2 linked regions of the Ovis aries genome follow. The protein of the gene in region 1 interacts with the protein of each later gene in a pairwise test. Links are inferred from orthologs where the notes say so. Each region holds a gene or a part of one and is shown in the gene's direction. Other genes may lie near its edges.

The links. The genes of interacting proteins can lie anywhere in the genome.
Region 2: the proteins of GRIPAP1 (region 1) and RAB4A interact in binary tests that used the Homo sapiens proteins (3 or more experiments, as listed by UniProt). The link is inferred for Ovis aries from reciprocal best matches to the Homo sapiens genes GRIPAP1 and RAB4A.

The regions. Positions count from the first base shown.
Region 1 is NC_056080.1:56,090,443-56,097,382, forward strand, and holds the start of GRIPAP1 (GRIP1-associated protein 1), read left to right. Parts: upstream 1-2,939; 5' UTR 2,940-2,947; coding exon 2,948-2,989; intron 2,990-3,557; coding exon 3,558-3,680; intron 3,681-5,019; coding exon 5,020-5,086; intron 5,087-5,204; coding exon 5,205-5,266; intron 5,267-6,244; coding exon 6,245-6,271; intron 6,272-6,940. UniProt on the Homo sapiens protein: Regulates the endosomal recycling back to the neuronal plasma membrane, possibly by connecting early and late recycling endosomal domains and promoting segregation of recycling endosomes from early endosomal membranes.
Region 2 is NC_056078.1:807,653-813,503, forward strand, and holds part of RAB4A (ras-related protein Rab-4A), read left to right. Parts: intron 1-1,116; coding exon 1,117-1,179; intron 1,180-2,252; coding exon 2,253-2,407; intron 2,408-3,690; coding exon 3,691-3,786; intron 3,787-5,851. UniProt on the Homo sapiens protein: The small GTPases Rab are key regulators of intracellular membrane trafficking, from the formation of transport vesicles to their fusion with membranes.

The DNA.
Region 1 (6,940 bases):
CCAAAGGTAGCTAGGCAATTGAGGCTTACATGCCAAACTGAGCTAAGGAATGGGATAAGGGCTTCAGAGATGTTTCAAAGGGGAGGAGGGCAATTCACAGGATGATAAGAGCAGATGTTTCTTAGTCAAATGTTTGCTTGGCTATGCCAGGTCTTTTAGATAAAACGTTATCGCTGGTATAGCTCTCTTTCTGGGCCAGACCACCTATCTTAATTCTTCTAAGCGGTTAAAGGAGAGGTAGAAATTTTTCTTCAGTGTGCTGGTCTTGATTCTTTACAGCTTAAAATAAGTCACACACCAAAGTACCACATTTTGTAGACATTTCTCTAAAGAAGACACAGATGGCCAACAGCTACGTGAAAAGATGCTCAGTATCGCTAATTATTAGAGCGATGCAAATCAAAGTGGCATATTTGGAGGTGGCATTTCTGCTCCTCTTCACACGTGCTCATTTGTGTGAAAAGAAAGAGAAAGGATAAACTAGAAATTAAATAGGTTGGTTACCTCAACAGGGAGGTGGAGGGAAGGGCAAAATGGAATTCAAACACAAACAAAGGAATCTAACCATATTTCAAATGAATCATGCAGCCTCATGGGGGAGGGGCATCAGGGAGAGTGAGCACTAACCCAAGCAAATTTTTAAAAAATCTTTTTGGCCACTGGCATGTGGGATCTTAGTTCCCTGACCAGGGATCAAACCTCACCACCTGCATTGGCATCTCAGAGTTTAAACCAATAGACCACCAGGGAAGTCCAAGCCAAGCAAATTTTGGACACAGTATTTTGACTACCATCAGATTAAAAACAAAAGGAACTGCATTGTACTGAAGCTATGGTAGTCTTGTTAAACACAATATTTTGACTAGAAACCAACAGGAATCTAAAGACAAAAGAAGCTGTAAAAAAGTATTGACCTCTAGTTGATAGATTTGTTTTTCATAGTTTATGGGTAAGCAATTCTGGAGTTAATGTGCATTATGATTACACAAATAAGTACATTTATTGTGGACAGTGGGAGATAGGTTTCTTTCTGTTGGAGAAGAATATGAAAAGTGAGGAAACTAAAATGAATCTTGTGTGTTGTGTTGAAATGGAAGTTATTAGTAGTGTACTTATGTTTTTAAAGTACATATACCTAAAAAATAAAAGGTACTTACCCCATGGTCCAGTGGTTAAGACTCCTTGCTTCCACTGCAGAGGGTGCAGGTTCTATTCCTGGTCAGGGAACTAAGATCCAACATGCCACACAGCATGACCAAAAAAATAAAAATAAAAAATATATATACCTATAGTAAAACACGTAACTAGATATAATAGATATGTGTGTATACATGAATTAGTCCATATACATGTATTTTTTGGCTCTGTACACTGAGACGGCATAGAAAAAATTACACTCTAGTAGCAATGAACACTTTCTCAACTGGGGCTAAAAAGGAATAATGTTGAGTCTGGTGCATCTTGTAATGCCAGAAAGCAAGGAAATGCTTTAAAAAAAAAATGATGGGGCCATGTCAAAGGGACACAAAAGTCAACCTGAAGGAGCTTCCATTGGCTAAATCTGGGACAATTTGAGCATCAAAGGAAATAATGATACTGATTGATTATAATCTATGGAATAAAATAATGAGTCTGTACAGATCTAAACACATAAATGGGGAAGAAGAGAAAGCTCTTTCTTACAGTAGATTAATAACTAACAAATATCAAAGGAATGTTGGTGTTAGGAAATCATTGATGGATGCTGAAGTCAATAGTTCAAAAATTTTATATCTAAAAACAGGATGATAAAGGAAAGGTGGCAAAATGTGAACAACTGATGAAGCTGGCAGAAGGGTACAGGTAATTTCCTTATGGGCTTCCCTGGTAGCTCAGACAGTAAAGGACCCGCCTGCAATGCGGGAGACCTGTGTTGAGTCCCTGGATTGGGAAGATCCCCTGGAGGAGGGCATGGCAATCCACTCCAGCATTCTTGCCTGGAGAATCCCCATGGACAGAGGAGCCTGGCGGGCTACAGTCCATGGGGTCAAAAAAGGTCGGACACAACTGAGTGACTAAGCACATTCCCTTATAGCATTCTTGCTTTTCTGTAAGTTTAAAATGGCATAAAATCGTTTTTCTCCTCTTCCCACTAAAAAGACAAAAAAGATAGAGAAAATAGGGCATATCCTAGTACCAGATATGTTGCTGCTAAACATGCTAATTTTTTTCTTTCCCAAATAAAAACTACTGCTTGGGTGGCAGGGTTTGCAGCAGTGGCCGGTAAGCACAAGAGACGTTTATAATGCATTTTAACACTTATTTAAATGTTCCTGATGTTTTGCTATCCTAGTTTTGTTTTTTAAGTGAAGCTTTCTCGTTTGATTCACTGCCATTCTTTCCTCACAGGTATTTTAAATTTATTGGTGGCTGGGCCCTTTACCTAACAGTATCATGTTAAAAAAAAAAAAATCAGCGTCAAATCTTAAAACAAAACAAAACAAAACACGCCAAGGGCTTCACAAGAAACGGGATTCCCTTTTTGGGGTCACCCGGAGGAGGGCCGGAACAAGACACGCGCAAAGCTTCCGCTTTCATTTCCACTGTAAAGCCGACCATTTTCCTTAAAGGAGTACCGCGGAAGCGCGATTTTCGGTCGGCAAACACTTCCCTAGCGACGAGTCCCATGACACAGGAATGTCACAGTGTCGCATCACAATGAGTAGTCTAATGATAGCTCAAAAACCAGATCTAATGACCTGGATTCTGGTAAAATACTAAACTGCAATTCACTTAACCGGCCAGTTTTTTTTTTTTCTCTTGTCTCGGTTTCCAAAACGCTGAACTTCCGGAGTAGACTCCTCCCCCTCTATTCCTGCCCGGTGGTTTGGTCCGACCCAATTCTACTGACAGGAGAGACAAACCGCGTCGGCGCAGAAAGCTGTTGGGGGGGTGGGGGGGGAGGAACATGGCGCAAGCTCTGTCAGAAGAGGAGTTTCAGCGGATGCAGGTACCGCTTGGCGGGGAAAAGCAGGCTAGGCGACGGGGGTGCGGGGAAGAGAGAAATTGTGCCACCAGCTTTGAGCAGGGGTTGGTTGGGATGGACCTTGAGTCTAAGGGGTCTGGAGAAGGGAAACTGAGGCTCCGAGTGGTGAGACTACTGGATTCCGAGAAACTGTTGGGCTCTCAGCAGTTGGATTCTGTTAGCCTTGTGGGTGGAAGAGAGATCTAGCGTGGGTGATACCTTACTGAGACTTGGAGGGGACGAGACCTTTGGGCTCGTGTGGGAGACACCCTAGGTGGGCGATTATATTGCTGAGCTTTGGGGGAAGGAGATCCTGAGAAGGCGAAACCATTTTGCCTGGAGAGGAAGGAAGCGGGCGTTTGGTTGTTTGCGTCATGGTGGGGGGAGCCCTGGAGAGGGCAATACCATTACTGGTGGGAGGTAGACATTTTTGTGGGAGATACCACTATGCCAGGGCACTGGGGAAAGACCCCACATGTTGTCATTGTTCCTGGGAGGTGGAGCTTCTGTGCAAGGGGTGGTACCATTGGATGATTAGGGGTGATCCCATTAGGGCTGGGGTGATGAAGGCCCTGAATGGGTAATACCATTAATCCTTGTTGGAGAGAGAACCAGAGGAGGTGAAAGAGTGATACCCTTGGACCACGTGGAGAGGAGATCACCGGGCTCTGGGAAGGTACCCTGAGTATTCTGACCACTTGATTCTTTTGGTGGGGCTCAGAGATGGGATGAAAGGCCAAAGGGGGCCCTTGTTGAGATAGTTCCTTACTGGGGAAGACCATTGGATTTTGTGTGTGGGTAGACTCAAGGGGGGGAAACCCTGTGTAGGGTCTGTGGGAGGACAGGAGGAACTCCAAGTGAAGACAGATAATCCATTCGTCCTTGAATGAAGGAAACCAGTTGTCACTGTGTGAAGGACCCTGAGGGTGGAAGGGCGAGATAATTGTACCATAAAAGGGGAAGGCCCTTGTAACTTGTGCATAAGGGTTATCCCATGTGAGTAAGGGTAATCCACCTAACCCATCCAAGGCCTTGTGGGGGGAAAAACCCTGAAGGGTATAGGTTCATCTCATTGGATCATGACTGGGAAGATCTTGTGGGGTGTAGGAGACCCTTGAGTGAGGAAGATTGATTCCATTAGTCATGAGTGAAGGGAAAACCATTGGACTCTGATGGATAGAGACTCTTAATTGGGTGCCAGGGGTGTTCTCATTGGATCAGGAGGAGAGGGTCCAGGAGTGGACAGGGGCAGGAAAGTTGTATAGGGGCCAAGCCCTCTCCCCTTTAGCAGACCATCCAGGGATGGAGTCTAGTGCCATGGGAGAGAGGGAAAGGTCCTGGTGCTGTAAGGGATGGTCGTTCTGGGAAGAACTGGCCTCAGTGCCCTGCAGGGCTGGTAGGTAGGGATATGCTGTTTGGAATGGCCCATACTTCACTTGTCCTCGATTCTTGAAAGGGATCTGGACATTTTGAGAGCCTTGCTTGTGGGAACCCCAGGGAGCCCGTTTTTACTCAGTGAAATTGGTCATTATACCAAATCCTCTTCCCTTGGGAAAGAGGGAAGAAGGCAGTGCCCTGCCCCCTACTCAGGCCAAGAGGATAGACAACACCTCTGATAGAAGACTGAAAAGTGTTTAGTGTGTGATGAGGCCAGCCAGGGTGAGGAGGCCAACTTCATCCTGAGGGCACGGAGAGCCATGGAACACACAGGAACAAGAGATGGACTGGGTCAGCACTGTGGCATCGCCTGGGGTCATAGTTGGACTGAAAGGGGAGAGGTGGAGGCAGCAGGGAGATGGGCGAGGCTGGCTGTGGTCATAAGTAGAACTGGAGAAGGTGGGACAGGGGCTGAGTGGCTGGACTCATTTGGGATGCAGCAGGCACAGGTCTTAAGAGTGACTAAAAAGGCACAAGAAGGGCAACAGGGTCTCTGGGGCTCAGAGGGTTGGTTCACTCCTCATAAAGGTAGGGGGCACATTCCTGCCAAGTCATTTCCTTCCATGCTTCCCTCTCAGGCTCAGCTACTAGAACTCCGGACAAACAACTACCAGCTTTCAGATGAACTACGCAAGAATGGTGTTGGTAAGCCAAGAGGGTCTCATTAGATGGGGGTGGCTCTGGGGGACAGAGGCCTGGCAGAAAGACCTTTCAGCTCCTTACCACTGACTGAAGCTGAGACTCCCTGCTTTCCCCACACCAGAACTCACCAGTCTTCGACAGAAGGTTGCCTACCTGGATAAGGAGTTCAACAAAGCTCAGAAGGTACCTCCCTCCACCTACTCACTCACCCAAGTTTCCCTGTAGCCATCTGACTCATTCATTTGTCCAGTGAGCACCTGCAGTGAACCAGCATGTAACCTAATGTTACATGTTGTCATTAGTCATTCAGAAATTTCTCATGGAATTCTCCTTTGTTTGGTAATTTTATCTAATTTTGTTTAATTTATTGATTAATTTTAGTTTACTCTTAATTCATTTTTAATTTCAACTACTTACTCAAAATAATCAAATCTATCAGTAAGTCATCTTGACTCTGCCTTCTGTCCTCCACTCATATTCCTGCCTTGTGCTCCTATTCCCCACCCCGTCCTAGTCCTGTTGGTAAAGTAAGACTAAACCTACCTCTCAGATCCTTTGAAGGTGAGATAGCATATAACCTGTCATGGCCCCTTAAGGCATTCAAGGCCCTCCTTTGTCTCTTTCTTCACTGCTCTGTCTCCAAGCATTGCACAATGTTGTACATAGTATGTGCTCCATAAACATTTGCTAGATGAAGGAATACAGAATGCAGAAAGTCTGGCAGTCAGAAAGCTGGGCTTCTCTGTCTTTGATAGGGTGCTGATTTCCCAAATTGGCAGTGTCCTCAGCTGCCCAGCAGAGGAACAGCAGTTTCCATGGTTCTTTGGAGGGATCCACATAGATATGTTTGGACAGATGTAGCAATGAAGCCATAATTTCTGAGCCCAGAGATCCAGCCTGTGAAGGGTTAAATACTATGACCCGTGAAAAGCTCAAGAGCTTAGAGGAAAGGGTGTAAGCAGGGTGCTCCTTACTCACTCACTCACTCCATTCCTTTAGGCTATAAATTGTTGCTCTGTGGTTCTGTGGTTATAGACACCCCCGTCCCTCAACCCCTGTTATCATTGTGCCCCCTTGACATTTGCCACAATTTCTCCATACCCTAGTGAAGGAGTCCATCTCTGTTCACCTTATCTCTCTTCCCATCCCCCTCACCTTTAGGCACTGAGCAAGAGCAAGAAAGCTCAGGTAAGGGGACCCCTGGCGGGTAAATGTGTCTGGTAGACTGCCTTAGAGGGGATGTTTCGGTATGCTGGGATCTCCTTGCACTGGCCTTTCTTTCTCTGTGTGTGCACTTGCATCTGTGACTGCCTCCCAGCCATGTGTTTTTGTGTCTGTCTTTTGTGTTCCTGTTTTGTCTCTCTCTGTGTGTCTTTCTCCCTTTTTCTTTATCCTCCTCTCTGAGCCTCTCTCAGTCTCTGTCTTCCTGTTCTTCTTGGACTCTTGTTTCTCTCCCCAACCTTCTCTTTGTCTTTCTTCCACCCGTTATCTCTGCCATTGTTTCATTTCTTCTTTCCCTTTCTTTGTCTCTCTTGACTCCTTTTTCCTTACTCCCCTGTTCCTCTCTCTTTTCCTGGTTCATTTCTTTTCCTGACCCCCTCTCTCTGTTCCATCCTCCTTCTGTTGACCTCTTTGTTCCTATCTCTCCATCGTCCTACTTTTTCTTTTTCTCTCTCTCCCCCTCCCCATCCCTCTGTCCTTCCTCTCTAACCTCCTTTCCCCATCTCTCTGTTTTCTTTCTCTCCAATTTCTATATACCCCTCTTTTCCTCTCATTCTCTCCCTTGTCTTTTTCTCCCGCCCTATCTCCTCTTTTATTCCTCCTTTATCTCTATTTCCCCTTGTATCTCCTGATTTC
Region 2 (5,851 bases), on another chromosome or scaffold:
AAATTCCACATTACACCAAACACAGATGAGGCCAGGGTCTGCCATGGGAAATCTCAGAACGCCAGGGGTGGGCTGGAGATGCCAGAGATTCTAAGAGGGAAAAGCAGGCACATCTCAAGGAGCACTACGACCATTGCACTGGGCTTTTCAGCAGCAGCAGTTAAAAGCTGGAAGATAATTACAACCGTGACTTCAAAACTCAACATGAAAATTTTTTTCCAACCTAAAATTGTACACTCAGCCATACTCTCCATTAAGTATGAGAGTGAAATCAGAGTGTCTCCAGTGATGCAACACGGAGTGGGCTGTAGAGCAGAGGGAGGAGGCAGGGGGTCGAGGCAGAGGGGGAGGGCAGCTGGCACTGGGTCATCTGTCCGTGGAGCTGCGTGGTCCAGATGGGCTGTGTCATGGAGGAGGAGGAGGAAGAGGCACTGGTGGAGCAGCTACTGAGAAGTCTGGGTGCAAAAGAATCCCCTTTGGAACAGTAGCAGGAGCCTCCTGCTGCCTGCACCATGCTTGTTCAAGACAGGAGGTGCCGAGCACATTTTATTCTGCCCCTGGGAAAATCTAATGAACAGGGAAAGTCATGATTCAGGGAAGTGTTTACTGAAGGAAAACTCTGGAGGTTGTGAGAATGGACGTGTTGTACCTGGGTGGGCGCTCAGTTCAGACTGGTGTGCCCCCAGGAGGGAGGGAGCATGAGCTGCACCTCCGGGCCTGGGGCAGGGCGTGTGATAGCCCGTGCCCTGGAAGGCGACCCCACGCAAGCAGAGGAGCCACCGAGGGCCTCATGCACTGTAGCCCTGCTGCCGCCTTCCTGTCTTTCCCCTACATGTTCTCAAAGGTCCCTCAGTTCTGCGGGGCCCCCCCACTCCATGAGGGGCACACTCGTCCCCAGCCTCATGGCCCCACCTCCTTATCACTACTGTGATCCTGTTTTGGACAGAACAGCCCTTCGTGTCTGCTTTCAAATGTCTTTGTATCATTTCTCTTTAGAGAGGTATCTGGCACTGTATTGCAGTTGTCAAGGCCAAAAACGGGTGTTTTGCATGGGAGGCTGCTGCTCGTGAGCAAGGGCTCTGCTCCCTTGAAAGTAAAAGCCTGTAACTCTTCCAGGTCTGTGACAAGAAGCTACTACAGAGGCGCAGCGGGGGCACTGCTTGTCTACGACATCACCAGGTAATAACACCCCTACTCAGCCCATGCTCCCTGGGGCCCGCTCCTCCCCACAGGCCGCTGGTGTGGCAGCGGACAGCAGAGGTGGGACTCAGCAAGACCCTCCGCCCTTTCCCTGAGGGTCTTGCAGGTTTTCAGAGCAGCCCCTTTCACCTCTTCACCATGTGAAACCTGTTCCCAAGTTTCAGATAGATAAAGCATCTCCTGTGTCGTCATGTTTCCTTAAGATTCACAGCTTGAAGTTTTGCACGTGGTAAATTGTTAGTAATTGTCCTCCATCAAGCACGGGCTCTATGCTGCAGTGGCCTGGGTTCAAATCCTGGTTCCTGTCCCAAAGCAGTGTGAGCCCTCTGGACTTTAGTTTCCTTGTCTGTTCCACTGAGTCATGGTGACCACATAATACTCGTGAGGCTGTTGGGTGGTTAAATTGGTTCCTATAAAGCTCTTGGCCCATCTTAAGGATCTGAGTGCACTGTCCTGCATGTAGCTGTCACCTTGGTGTCACAGTTAAATTCAATGAAAAATTCAGTTCCTTGGTCGGTCCTTAGAATATACGAGGATTTTGCCCTTAGATAGATAAGAGCTGAACACAGTCCTGGAGGCAGACAGACCTGGTCAAGTCCTGGCTCCATGTGTGTGACTTTGGGCAACTTAAACCAGTCTCTCTGGGCCTTAGGTTTCTCGTGTAAATGGGAGATGATAAGAGTGTGTCGCAGAGAATCAATGTGATAAATTCCTGTGAAACAAAGGACCGTCATGTTGCACGGATTCGTCGAGTGACAGCAGTTAGCCTTAGGTTTTGCTCGCGTGTTGTGTAAACCAAGACCCGAGTAAATAACCGCACCCTGCTTGGGGAAACAGCCGGTGGCAAGCTGTCTGACTCGCTGTGGCATCTCCCTGGAAACAAGGTGGAACACACCCTTGGCATGTGGTGTGCTCTTGGGGCGCCCAGGTCCTCTGAGTGCTTTGAAGGTCGTGGGCACTGCCCTGCGTGTATAGAGGTGGTGTGAGTGACTGGAAAGAGTTGCTAGCTTTATAAAATACATGTACTGTTCTCACAATCTTATATTACGCAGCCGAGAAACCTACAATGCGCTTACTAATTGGTTAACAGATGCCCGAATGCTCGCGAGCCAGAACATTGTCATCATCCTCTGCGGGAACAAGAAGGACTTGGACACCGATCGGGAAGTCACTTTCCTGGAGGCCTCCCGATTTGCTCAGGAAAATGGCAAGTGGCCTTTCACCTGTCACAGCTACTGGAGGTCTAAGATGAAGCTGTATTTACGGAGTGTGGAACCTCCTATTGTTGCCATTAGACATTTGGACATCTAGCATATTTTCACCCTGTTGCATTGTGCCTGCAGAGGCTGCTGTGATGATAGAAGCTGATCTCTTTGCACTCTGTGATGGTGTTCCAGTTTGGCATCTTTAATATCACAGCTCTTGGTTTGAAGTGAGAATTATAACAATTTTTAAAGGCCCTAATCAGATGATGTTATCATTTTTAAAATGTAATTTGAAGCTAAGTTGGTGAAATATTAGATCTAAATAGAAAGTGAAGCAGTAGATGAGATACTGGACTTACTGGCTTTATTTTGCTTACATTAAATTTAAGTCATTTGGCTAAAGATTTAGCCTTTGAAACTTGCTGAATTTTTATGTAGAATACATAAGGATGACACATAAAATGAACGATTCCCTATAGACAGCAAAATGACGAGAATTCAGACATTTTAAAATAACTTTAATTTTTAGAACCAGTCAGGAAATAAAATACGCTAATAGCAACTTTCAATGGGACTCTAGAACTGCCAACTTACACTCCCACAAACAGGTTTTCTGCTAAGAAAATAAGCATGCAATAAAAACATAAGCCATTATGAGTTTATAAAGAAGCTGTTTAGAAATATGTAAGCTTAGAATGTTAATGCCCAGAAGGAATTTCTCTATCATTTACATGCACCTCATTTTGACTAATAAGGAAACAAGTGTCTGGAGAGGTTGTGGTTTGCTCACAAAAGCAAGGAGAGAGGCCTTCGCCTGGGTGAGTGACCACCCAGTGGAGAGCAGAGGGCTCGTTCGTATAAGACCTCCCACTGTCAGGGACCACACGCCACGTGGCCCCCGGCGCCGGCACTTGCAGGCTGTGTCTGGCGACCTGAAGCCTGTGGGAAGAAGTTGCTGCTGAGCCCTATGCCAGCAGCTGGGCGCCTCGGCCAGACTGCTTTCCGCCAGCGTCCTGCTCGCTTAGTTTCTTCTTCGGCACATGTGAGTGCTAGCACACACTGCCAGTTACTTTTCAGAAAAAGTTGGAATTGTTTTAAGACTTAAAAAATATGTATGTATGGACATTTATTGATTTTCTATTTGCAGAAATACCTGGTTATAAGGACAGAATTCTATTTTGTCTGCTATTCTAAGAGAATAATACATTAAGCAGGTGGTTATGAGTTGAATAATTGTGATTATCTTCTAAATATGGCTTCATGTTTTGTTTGATGTTGATTTTAGAGCTGATGTTTCTGGAAACAAGCGCACTCACAGGGGAGAATGTAGAAGAGGCCTTTGTACAGTGTGCAAGAAAAATCCTTAACAAAATTGAATCAGGTAAGAACTTCCCATTAATAAACTTTCCTTTAGCACATTTTCCTCTCTAGCTCAGTAGCGTCACTTTTCAGTATTTCCAGGAGTGATTTGGTCATGGAGTTTCCTCTCTCTACCTGCCGACCTGCAGTGACCTCTTAGGGGTTTGGAGGTCTTGTCTACACTGCAGGTGGAAGCCCAGGCCTCCTTCACAGGGACTTTTTCAGCTGTGTGGTGGCAGAGAAGCAACTGTGTGAGGGGAAATGAGTTATGGGCACCTCGCTTAATGCTGCTGGTTACAGATCGGGCATCATGGAGAATTTGTTTCTGAAGCTAACTGAGCATGTCACAGTAGTGACCTGTCTCATTATTGTTCTACTTGTTGCTTCAGTAAAAATAAATTTAAAACAACTCTACTATAGGCAGCTGACAAAATAACATATAGTTGTCATTTATTAGAGTTAATTTTTATTCAAATATCACCAAAATCACATGTGGCATTACATTTTTAATTGATTCATTTAACTGAATGCCTATTCTTTGTCAAGTGCGGGGATACAAAAATAAATTAATCCCAGCCCTCGCCCTCAAGAAACTGTCTTTCATGGGAAACAGTCAAAAGATAATTATAACACAGTGTGGTCAATACAGTAACTGAGAAGTGCGCCAGATCTTGGGGCCACACAAAGGAGAGCCTGCTTGTTTAGGAGGTGATATCAGGAAGAGCTTCTAGGAAGAGACGGTGACTGAGCTCAGGCTTTCAAAGTGTGAGGAGGAACCAGGCGTGGGGGTGGGGAGGAGGGTAGGCCATCAGAGGGGCAGCATGAGTGGAGACTGGGGGGAAGGTTGCAGTCACTAGAAGAGAAAGACCGCAGTGGGGAATGGCGGGAGAGAAGGCTGAGGAGAGGCAGCAGCCAGGCCAGTGGTCTTCACCCAGGCTCGAACTTCGCTCCCTGGGTGACTGAGTCCCCACCTTGGCTGGACGCAAGAGTCGCCTGGGATATGCACAAATTTGAATTCTAGGCCCCACCTCTGGAGATGCTGAGTTAAGGCCTCAGCATCATCATTTTAAAAAGCTGTCCCGTGTGATTCTCATGTTCGTCCAAGATAGAGGACCACTGCTGTAGGGCTGAGAAGCCATTCGAGGGTGGGGGGCAGAGAGTGATATGGTCAGGTTGTGGCTGGAGACACGTCGTGTGTGTAGGCGGTCACATCAGAGACGGACCAAAGGGAGCCCAGGACTGATGGCCAGGATACCAACCGAGGCATGTTTGAGTAATTCAAGAAAAGATGCCTGATTAAAGCTGTAACAAGGATGAGGAGCAGAGATGAAGAGACATAGATGACTCTAAGAAACATGTTGGCAGTGGCATCCTGACTCAGATGCCAAATAGCAGGGCAGGGCCTTTCGGCTTGGTGGGGTATTGGAAGAGCAGGGATCAAGAGAGGAGGAGCCACAGGTAACTCCATGTCACAGCTGCGTAGCTCAGTGATGAGATGGCAGAACCAGAGGAGAAGCCAGTTCACGGGAAGCAGGGTGGCTGTGTTTTGAAATGTTCCCTGGGTGGCATCACTGGAACAGGCACAGGGCACCATCCAGGAACCTGTGGGAAGAACCCAGCTGGTGGTGCTCCCTTGGGAGCCGTCGGTCTATAGGAGCAGGTGCCCCAGGGGAAGGAATGTGACCCCCCAGAGAGCAGTGAAGAGTGGGAAGAGCAGTGGCCCAGAGCAAAGCCTTGCAGACCGAAGGAGGAGAGGAGGCGGGGAAGGCCGGAGATTCAGGAAGACACCCAGGAACACGAGTGTAACTTCTGCCACATCCAGCCAAAAGGCTGTTCATTATCAAATGAATCTACTTTTCATCTAGAGCTGGAAAGTATCCGGTGGGGTGGGCAAGAGGAAGTCACTAGTCATCTTTACCAGCAGAATGATGCAGGGAGGAATGGAGCAACTGAGCACAGAGGAGATGAGGAAGCAGAGCCTGGGTGTCTCCCTGGAGGAGGAGGCAGAGGGTTAATTTAACATGAGAGGTTTCAGGAATGGAAGAAGTCTTAGCACCTGTAAATGCTGAGGGAGAAGAGAGAGGAAG